2 linked regions of the Caenorhabditis elegans genome follow. The protein of the gene in region 2 purifies or fractionates together with the protein of the main gene of each other region. This does not show direct contact. Each region holds a gene or a part of one and is shown on either strand. Other genes may lie near its edges.

Region 1 (3,567 bases), on a different chromosome or scaffold from region 2:
AGGAATATTCACAACGGAAGCCAATTTCTTATAAGCTTATACCAAAAAAGACAGAAATTTCACTTATTCAGGACGTAGTTGATAAAGCGGATTTGCGTTTATGATACCCACCGGCACGGGAGAAAAGAACAAGGATTAGAATCTGGAAGACTGGATTGTATTTAAGGAAAAGATTTTGCTTTTTTAGTGGATAATTCCTTGCAGAAAACTACACTTTGATTCAAATTATCTCGAAAAATGAAATTCTTATTGTTTTTGTATTTCACTGTGCTTGCATTTTGTGAAATTCAATGTGTGCCATTATTCAAAGGTAACATTTTTTTGATTACTTTCATACTTTTAAAGCAAATAATTATTTCAGATATTGACTATAAGCTCTATGAATATGACACTGGAGTTGCGGTGGATTCTGTTTTTGAAATAGTTCCAGATACGTCAAAAAAAGTGGCTTCCATCGGAAAAAGACATCGGAAGCATCATGAAAAATTGTAGATAAATTGAGATTTTAATTGTTCATATTTAAATTGTTTTATTGTATTTAACATGTTTCCGCACATCGTTTTTCATAAAAATTGTTATAGTTGAATGAATCTATGAGATCTTGTTGTATGAAATAAAATGTTAATCAAATAAAACCAAGATTTACAACATTCTCTTTGCAAACCGGTTTCTGCGATGACGGAGAGCTCTCATAATTCGTTTTTGTTTGAGAAAATTCTCATACAATGCAACTTTTGCTGCATTCATTCCTGGTGGCCCATAGGAAAAGTCTGGAGGAGGAGTTGCTGATGGAGCTCCGATCATGTCAGACGAGAGTTCTTGTAGCATTGGAGGAGCCGATGGAGGTGTTGGTCCATTACGAAGAACTATCAGTGGTACTGTTACGAGTTCATCAGCAATTTCAGTAGCTGTTATAAGTTCAGTTGTCGGCTCTTCAGTTGTTGCTCTAGTAGGTTCTTCTGTGGTAGTTGTGATAACAACTGGAACGGCTTCATAGAGTCGTCTAGGTGGTTGTAGTTCAAAACGTCGAAGTTTGGTCCGTGGGCATTCTTCCGGTAGAACACACAATTTGAGAGAATTCCGAACAAATCCATTTCGACAAGTGCATCCAGGCTCACATTTAGAGCAATACTGGAATTTTTTGAATTATACCGATAATAGTACTATTGGAAACTTTGCCTGTTATTTACGATTGGATTTGAGAAAAAAGGTTCTTACCGGGTCTGGATTGTTGCAGGTTGATTCACAGGCACAATGAGAAAATGATTGGAACATAGGGCAGTTTTCTGAAACCTTTCAATTGTATTTAAATTCCCATTCAAATTACATACCTTCTCCATTTATTCTAGTGGTATCATTCATACGTAGTCTTTGAATAATCAAAGATAACCTTTGTTTATTGACTTTTGGAGTTTTCAATGTTCGAAAAGCTTTATGCCGGAACTCATGAGATACTTGAGAAAATGTGGATAACACAAGTAGAAAAGGTAATAAAATGGAGAGAGTATGCATCTGCAAATGAGAATGTAGGTGAATGTAATGAATGAGAGATGGAAATGGAACAGTTCAGACAAATGGAATGGCAAGGTGCGAATATGAATCGGAAAGGAATACGATATTATTAATTTGATGATGATGGGCAATTCCGATAAAAGCTATAAAAATCTAGAGGAACGGCCTTCAAACATTCAAACATGGCTTCACTCTACAGAAGTAGCCACTGTTTCAGTCCGTCTTTAATAGTCTCGAGGAAATTCAGATCTCGAAAAATAGTACAGTAAGGTGAGACCTGCATCTAGATATTATTACAAGGTTTTGTATGTCTCAGTAGACAAAAAAAAGAGAGAAGAAACAGTGAAACAATGTTCAGAGACGCAGACGGAAGCCGTTTGTGGAACCGAACTGAAGAAGAAAGTGAGTGAAAAACGTGACGAACGAGACGGGCTGGGGATTCGGACAAAAGGTGGTCATCTGTACAGAACTAATTGATATGGAAACAATCACAGAACACAGAGGAACATGGTGATGTAATGGAATTTGATAAGGATTGAGGGGAAAAGCTGATGAAAAGGGCGTAAAATCGAATAAAAAGGAGAATGGAAAGCGAGGGAAAAACTAGGAAGGACGAAAGAAATGAGGTGAAACGGGGGATGAAAATTCGTTGTTTATGTGGGTCAGTTTTGGAAAAAAAACAATATGCTTAAAATCAATTTCATATATAATTTGAAAAATAATAAGAACAAACTATATAGTGAGATATGTGACATTCTGAAATTTGGAATCTCGTATTAATCTTTGCCAGTGCCTGTGAGATTGTTGTTTTACAAATCACACATGCTGAAAACAGATTAATAAATAAACAATTTCCACCGGAAATCCCTACCTTGCAATACCAATGTTAACTTCATAACCGACAACAACCCTTGCTGTATCGAAACTATTAAATGAAGCAAACTCCGGTTTGAAGGTGAACATCTTTTTCAGCAAAAGGGTTTTCTGGAAAAAAAAACAAATTAGTTGCAACAAAAAAAGATAAAATTAATTGAACTTACCTTACCCCTTGAACTGATAATATTCACAAATCCGGTCAATTCTACGCCACGTACTTCCTTACTTCTGAACAACAGTTTATCTAATTGTAGAGAAATACAAATAAAATAACGCACGTTCCAATTGAGTATTCATAAAAAATTTTATAATCTTCAAGTTCAAACGAACGAACACATTTGTGTGTTTTCACTTCTTGTGTAAATCTTGTTCGCAATGTTTGAAGGAAGTTTTTTTCGCCTTTTTCAGGATACCCAGAGGATGTACTCTAAACATTGAAAGTATAATTATATTTTTCTCCGACTTTCAAAGAAATTACCATATTCATGCATAAACATATATTTTCTGATATTCCTTCAGACGTACAGTTCCTTGATGTTGGTTGAGCTATGAAGACAGATTTTGAAGATTTTTCTTTCGGATTGATTAATTCAACAAGCATTTGATTGAAATTAGTAGAAGACAATAACCTAAACTCAGATATTCTTTTTAAATATAATTTTTAGACCTAACCTGTTGAAATTCATATTCATGAAATATAGTTTCTGATTATTATTTTCTATGAATTGGTTGGATGGACGAAAAGCAAACATTGGATATTTGTCGTTTTCGTTTTCAATATCTCTGCAAATTGTTCAAATTAACATGTAATGTAAATAAGAATCTCACTTTGTTGATAAGTCGTACGAAGTGATGATTAGTGTAGTGTTCTCGAAAATGTTTGATTCCTTTAATAGATCCAACATTTTTCTGAAAAAAGGTCCGTTTTTTTCCTCAAAAACTTTTATAATACTTCAAATCTTGATCAATTGATTGTCTACGATATTCATCATATTCATCAATAAACATTGCTGAAAACACCTTGGAATCTGCTGTTGATGTCAGAAATGCTCCGATTTTTTCCAATTGATCATTTACTAATTTCTAGAAAAATTGTGATATAAACTTTTTTTGAAATATAAAACTTACTTTTCCATTTTTCAAACATAAGTTTCCATCAATTAAGAATTGTGTTATGAA
Region 2 (6,621 bases):
GGCTGAATGAAGAAGGGACAACAACAAGAATTCGGGAGCAGTTTCGAGCAATTTTTTTCGAAAATTGAGCAAAAAAAAACTACGGGTTAAAAGGATTTTTTTCTGAACTGATTTTTAATTTTGAAACAAATATTATTTTACCAAAAAAATCTTCTGATTCTGATTTTTTCTGATTTTTTGATTTTTTTTGATCTTCTGATTTTTTAATGCGAAAACTGCAACTTTTCATTCAAAATCTTGTGCAATAATGAAAGTGTTTAGTAGAAAAATTATTTTGTTGACTCTCACTTGTTAACAAAGAAAATGAATGAGGAAATTAATTATTTAGGTCTTCTTTGGTCTTTTCGGGCCTTTTCAAGTCCTTCAGAGTAATTTAAAAATCTCTTACTTTTATTTTAATAATTAATTCTTCGAACTTTTAACTTTTAGACATAAATAAAACATAATTGTATATCGAGGATCAAAATGCACTCTGGATTGAATTTCCAACTGAATACACAAGAGAACATACCCGGCAGATGGGTGAAGAATAATCTTGCCAGCTGGCATTTATGAACCAGCTAGTCGGTTGCAAAATGTAGAATTTGCGTATGCAGCTTGTAAAAGGAAATCCGGATGAAAAATCTAGAGAAAAAAGACGAAAAAGTGTTCTGGAAGACCGAATGTCCAAACGCAACAAAAACTGATAAAATTCGGACGCGAAAACTATGAAAACTGAAGAGAAACGAACAACAACTACGTCGTCGTCCACGTACACATAACTATATGTACAACCAATTCTCCCATTTTTCTCTCATTCCTCTTCACATCCACACAATCTCTACACTTCTTGTGTTCATTCGTTCGTCCAGTTCAGCCTGCGGTCATCTAGAAAGACGACCTCGATTTCCGATTTCAATCTTTCCATCAGCTTCTGTGTCTCTTCAATTTAAATAGATTATTCATTTCTTCACTCTCGATGTCCGCGTTTAAACTGAACAAAAAACACTGGCGTGTATGCAAATTGGAAAATGCATCGATTTTTTGTTGGAAACAACTGATTTTCAGGTGAAATGTGGGTTGAAAGGAAAAACTACTAATTACGAAAAAGGGGGCCAAACCAAAATGGCATTGAGAAACGCGTGGTGTAGGAGGATTAAGGAGTATTTACTGAGGTAATCGGAGAGGTTGCATTCAGATATCGGAATAAAAGTGAGAACTTGGGGACAGTTGAGTTTGAAAATTCAATATCTAACCTTTCAACGCTTGAAAATATGGTGTTTTCTTGATTTTTTCTAAACAAACCGAAAAGAGTTCACATTTTACGTTGGAATAGCGCAATCTAACTCAAATTCTATGAAAACCAATGTTTTAAAATTATTTTACACAAAAAAAAACACTTTTCATGAGAAAAAGGAAGAAAATCAAGAAAAAAAATAAATAAGTGGAAGTTATCCGAGAGGAGTACATATTACTGCACACAATACACACGAAACTACGGAAAATTGCAGACGCGACGTGGTGTACCGTATCCTGCGCTAAAATTGTCGATTTTTTATGTCTGCAGACATGTCTGAAACTCTGAAAAATCCTGAAAACAAACAAAGATTCACATGCAAAACAATTCACCCCCGCAGAGCATCCAATTTTGCATCAAATTGGCAGTTACATGGTTGACAAGCGCCCGCAGCGCCTAATCACACTGATTATTTAGTTGAAACGAGAGAACGAGAGCCGAAGAGAAAGAATAATTCGTTATCTTCCCTGATTGTCCACCAGTAAATTGAAGAAAGCACTGCGGAGAGTTGCCATTCTCCTAAAATTCACTGATAGCAAATCACGGTTATCAATAAAGAGTGGGACAGAGTTTCCATTTTTCGGTTTTCCTAATTCGTTTTTTGATACTCCAAAAAGTTACATTTCTAGTTACTTTTTTCTTTTTTTAAGCAATTTTGAGAAATTCGAGATTTTCAGAAGAATGAGTTCTTCTCTTTACACGGGTGGCCAGGCCCTTTTCATATGCCTGGCGTTCATTGGCCTCGATCTTCTGGTCAATGTATTCGGACTTGCTTGGAATGGAAAAGTATGAAAATATGTTCAAAATTCGAACCAAAATCTCTTTTCAGTACTTCACGTTCGACAATATCGCTCACTGGTTTGATTTGGCCAACTATAGTTTTTTGAAAAATCCAGTAGATTTTTTGGTAGATCAGAAAATTTTGTTCAACCACCATAAATTGAGTATTTTAGGCGGTTGCGTTGATTCGTGACAGTATTTTGCTCGGCGGAGCAGTTTCAGCATGGGCTTCACCTTCCGGATTCTCACAAGTCGCCGAAAATGTCAAGTAAGTTGCCAATTTTGAGAACTTCAAGTGGGAAAAATCAATTCAAAGAAAATCAAATTTGTTACAGTACTCGTCGTTTGAAGGCGCATTCCAAATTCCCGAATAACAAATCATTGAAACTTTTTGTTAACATGATAATTTCCAGGAACGTAGTTTTTGCAATGATGCTCTTGATTGTTGCATTTGCTCCATCGAAACTTCTAGCATTCTATGAAGATGACAATATCCGGTTGGCAGTTGGTGATTGGATTCTTATGATTTGGTGTATTTTCGCTTCACTTCTTCTTCAAGGAATCTGGACTTCTGTGCTTGCTCATGTAACAGAAGTTGCAGCAGGAACAGGAGATTCTCTTCTTTTTGGAGATGCTGAACACGAGGAGAGACTCCGTCAGGAGGAAGCTGAAAAAGCTGCAGAGCAAAGAGAAACCTTCCAATTGTTGTTCAGACTTTTGGGCTACATGGGAAGGCAGTGGAAATACTATGGAATGGCATTCTTCTTCCTTTTCTGCTACTCCCTTAGTAAGTTCTCTATTCAAAAATTAAAAAGTTTTAAAAGCCATCATACTTTCTTGTCATCATGAGAGTTAATCAAGAGTAGCAAATAAACCTAAATCACGTGGCGTGGAGTTGAACTCGGGAGCGGCGAGCGGCAGCCGGCCGCGTTAACCACTAGGCCGCGAGTGAAACAAGTCGAGACAAGCGAGAAGGGCGCTTTTATTTGCGAGAAAGAAGGAGAGTTGTTAGTGAAGTTTAAAGAAAGAAAAAATCAATTGATAAAACTCGTAATTGGTCAATTATTATACAGGTCGAGTGTTCATTCCATATTACACTGGAGAAGTAGTAACAGCAGTATTCGGTGATAAAGCTTCATATGAGAAGCTTCACAAAACCGTTTTCATAATGGGAATGCTCTCATTGGCTTCGTAAGTTGTACAATAATATCCTTTTGGAAAAAAAATGTTCAGAACTGTATTTGGTGGTCTTCGTGGAGGATCATTCACCTATGCACACGCTACAATCGATCGACAGATTCGAAATGACCTATTCCGTTCTGTTGTGAAGCAAGAGATTGGGTTCTTTGATATGAATAAAACTGGTTCGTACTTAATGTGGAGGAGAATAGCAAAATAATGGTTTTCTGTAAGAAATGTAACTTCTTTCAGGAGAGATTTGCTCTCGACTGTCAGCTGATTGTCAAACAATGTCGAACACTTTGTCCCTCTACATGAATGTTCTTACCAGGTGAGATATCGAAGATAAACTTGAAAATTAAAATTTTTAAAGAAACTTGACAATGCTCTTCGGGTCTTTAATCTTCATGTTCACACTGTCTTGGAAGCTCTCAATGATCACTTTGATCAATATTCCGATCATTTTCCTCGTCAATAAAATTTTCGGAGTTTGGTATGATGTAAGTTGGGAACTAGTTGGAAGAAAAATCAAGCAATATCTAAGTTAATCTAAGTCAAATTTTAAGATTTTTGGAGTATAGGTATTGGGGGATTTTGTATAAATATACTGAACGCTGGTCAAAAATACTGAATATATTCATGTCAAGCATGTTGAAATATTTTAGGTTTTTCAAAGCAAACAAAAAATATTTTCAGATGCTCTCCGAAGAAACTCAAAACTCTGTGGCAAAGGCCAATGACGTGGCAGAGGAAGTACTTTCCTCGATTAGAACTGTCAAATCGTTCGCATGTGAGAATTATGAATCTAGCAGGTGACATTTTTTCAAGTAACAATATTTTTCTTGAATTCCAAAATGTTTAGATTCATGACTTTCCTCAACGTAACTCTCAAAATTGCTACTCGCAAAGTCTTCGTCGTTATCGGCTTGATTTGGTCAAATGAGGTTAGTGTTATTGTAGTTATGGTACAGTAACCCAAACAAATATTTCCAGCTTCTTCAAATGGGAATCCTCACTATTGTCTTGTGGTATGGAGGACATTTGGTAATTGAGAATAAAGTAGAATCAGGACTATTGGTCTCGTTTCTTCTGTATCAATTCCAGCTCGGGGAGAATTTGAGAGTAAGTTTATCACCAGGAAATCCAGTTATAAATTACCAAATTCCAGGAACTGGGAGAAGTTTGGAACGGACTTATGCAAGCCGTCGGAGCATCTAGAAAAGTATTTGAGTTCATTGATCGTCCACCACGTGTCGAAAACACTGGAACCTATGCACCTGACGGTATGACAGGAAAAATTGAATTCCGTCACGTGGCGTTCAGTTATCCAATTCGGCCAGATCTGCCAATTATGGAGGATTTGACATTTACTGTCGAACCTGGAGAGGTTGTTGCACTCGTTGGGCCATCTGGTGGTGGAAAGTCATCATGTATTGCAATGCTAGAACATTTCTATGAGCCAACAAGTGGAGAAGTTCTAATTGACGGAGTTCCGGTTAGGTGAGAGCACAAAAAACCACACAAGTTTTTGAAAAAATTTCTGAAGTCCTTTGAGTTTGCCATATAGTTCTCGTTGGGAATCTCAAAAGATTTGATGATTGAGCAACCTTTGAGCCACTTATGACAATGGCCCAGCTTTAGTTTTTGTTCTATGGTCAATCAATTTTCCAGAGAATACGATCATAAATTCTTGCACACCAAGGTAGCACTTGTGGGACAGGAGCCCGTACTATACGCTCGTTCGGTCACGGAAAACATCGGCTATGGATTAGACAAATACGATGATGATATGGTACAAAATTCAGCGAAACTCGCAAATGCTCATACTTTTATCATGAATGACACCACTGATGGATATAATACAAATGTTGGAGAAAAAGGAAGCCAAATGTCAGGTGTGTATTCTAATTCTTTGAAATTTAAACTTTGAAAGCAAGTATTTGCAGGAGGTCAAAAGCAAAGAATCGCAATTGCCCGTGCCCTTGTCCGTCAACCAGTTGTACTTCTTCTCGATGAAGCTACATCTGCTTTGGACGCTGAATCAGAACATACTGTTAGTTTTTTCGATCCATTCATACGAAAACTACATCTTTTCAGGTCCAAGAAGCAATTTCAAAAAACTTGAAAGGAAAAACTGTTATCCTAATTGCACATAGACTATCTACTGTCGAGAATGCAGATAAGATTGTTGTGATTAACAAAGTTAGTTTTGAATATCTACAGTTTTTGGAAAGTAAACACTTACAAAAAAGAGAATTTTGAAAAATTCAAGAAATCCATGAGTTAGGTCAAAGATGTTCGTTTTTGAAAAATTATCGAATTCACTTAATATACGATAGGGATATATTTTCACATCTCCTCGTAATTTTACCAAAAAAGAGCAATAAGAAAATATGGGAAAATCCTAAAAACTCGCATCGCATCACTGTTTCCCAGGTTCAAGCCATTTTCAGCTTTTGTATAAGAAATATAACTAATGCCCAAAACTTTCAGGGAAAAGTTGAACAACTTGGAAATCACAAGACCCTAATGGAACAAGAAGGACTCTACAAACAATTGGTCCAACGACAAATGATGAGCGGAGAGGATGGTCTTGATGACGAAATTGAGGAGCCCGAACCAGCCCGCGAAGGAGGTTCAGGCCGTAGCACTAGAGCCGGAGCACGTAGAATTAGAAGTCCATCACAGTCTGTTAGCCAGTCATTTTTGGGTACCTCATTTGCAAGCAGCTATTTGTAAATCTTATTTCTAGCTCGCGATTTTATTGAAATGTTTCTTGATCTATTTTAAATCTGTTGAGTAGTGTTCTTAAATCTGAATTACACTTTTTTTTGCTCATGTTGTTATCTATGAAAGGTTTTTTGAAATGTCTATATATTTTTCTAGCCTAGAAGAAGGAAGAGGAAATTGAAATTGTTCTGATCTGAGAATCGGGATACGGTAGAGATAACATGTTTGAAACGAAATTGAAACAATCATGGTTGCAAAAATACCTTCAGTCTACACGGCCTCTCTCAATTTCATTTATTTCAAAATTCCTCTTTTTCTCTCACACTCTCTCACGTGAGATTGAAAATTGAATAATATATGTGTTTTTAAATTAAATTCAAAATATTGACGAAGAAACAACTTTGGTAATATAAATACCGATTTGTTCGGACTGATACCAAATGGTAATTTTCGGACATATTTGATCTCGTAGACAACGGCTCACTATTTCAGTTATCTTTAAAGTAATAAAAAATTCTTCAAAGTTTGGTACAGAGAAACTGAAGTAGTTACATTTGTAGAAACTTACATAACGTATAAACCTACCGTATTCCTATCGTACCCAATTACCGTATTTCCTCTATTAGTCTTGAATGCAAGACTAATTTTCAATTGAC

The links.
Region 1: the proteins of haf-9 (region 2) and F32D8.3 fractionate together in Caenorhabditis elegans (co-fractionation; one large-scale study listed by BioGRID). This does not show direct contact.

Annotation. Positions count from the first base shown.
Region 1 is NC_003283.11:10,884,915-10,888,481, reverse strand, and holds F32D8.3 (TIL domain-containing protein), read right to left. Parts: upstream 1,646-3,567; 5' UTR 1,513-1,645; coding exon 1,332-1,512; intron 1,287-1,331; coding exon 1,219-1,286; intron 1,132-1,218; coding exon 643-1,131; 3' UTR 509-642; downstream 1-508. Other genes in the region: F32D8.11 (uncharacterized protein), read left to right, coding at 238-310, 362-492; F32D8.2 (ATPase_AAA_core domain-containing protein), read right to left, coding at 2,380-2,496, 2,553-2,616, 2,667-2,815, 2,867-3,017, 3,061-3,171, 3,217-3,297, 3,341-3,471, 3,517-3,567.
Region 2 is NC_003279.8:6,079,859-6,086,479, forward strand, and holds haf-9 (ABC-type antigen peptide transporter), read left to right. Parts: upstream 1-1,953; 5' UTR 1,954-1,957; coding exon 1,958-2,062; intron 2,063-2,105; coding exon 2,106-2,183; intron 2,184-2,229; coding exon 2,230-2,324; intron 2,325-2,469; coding exon 2,470-2,843; intron 2,844-2,879; exon of another isoform or gene 2,880-2,947; intron 2,948-2,949; exon of another isoform or gene 2,950-3,081; intron 3,082-3,129; coding exon 3,130-3,247; intron 3,248-3,289; coding exon 3,290-3,420; intron 3,421-3,487; coding exon 3,488-3,566; intron 3,567-3,608; coding exon 3,609-3,735; intron 3,736-3,931; coding exon 3,932-4,047; intron 4,048-4,097; coding exon 4,098-4,179; intron 4,180-4,228; coding exon 4,229-4,357; intron 4,358-4,403; coding exon 4,404-4,735; intron 4,736-4,906; coding exon 4,907-5,130; coding exon of another isoform or gene 5,131-5,165; intron 5,166-5,181; coding exon 5,182-5,288; intron 5,289-5,332; coding exon 5,333-5,437; intron 5,438-5,728; coding exon 5,729-5,974; 3' UTR 5,975-6,099; downstream 6,100-6,621.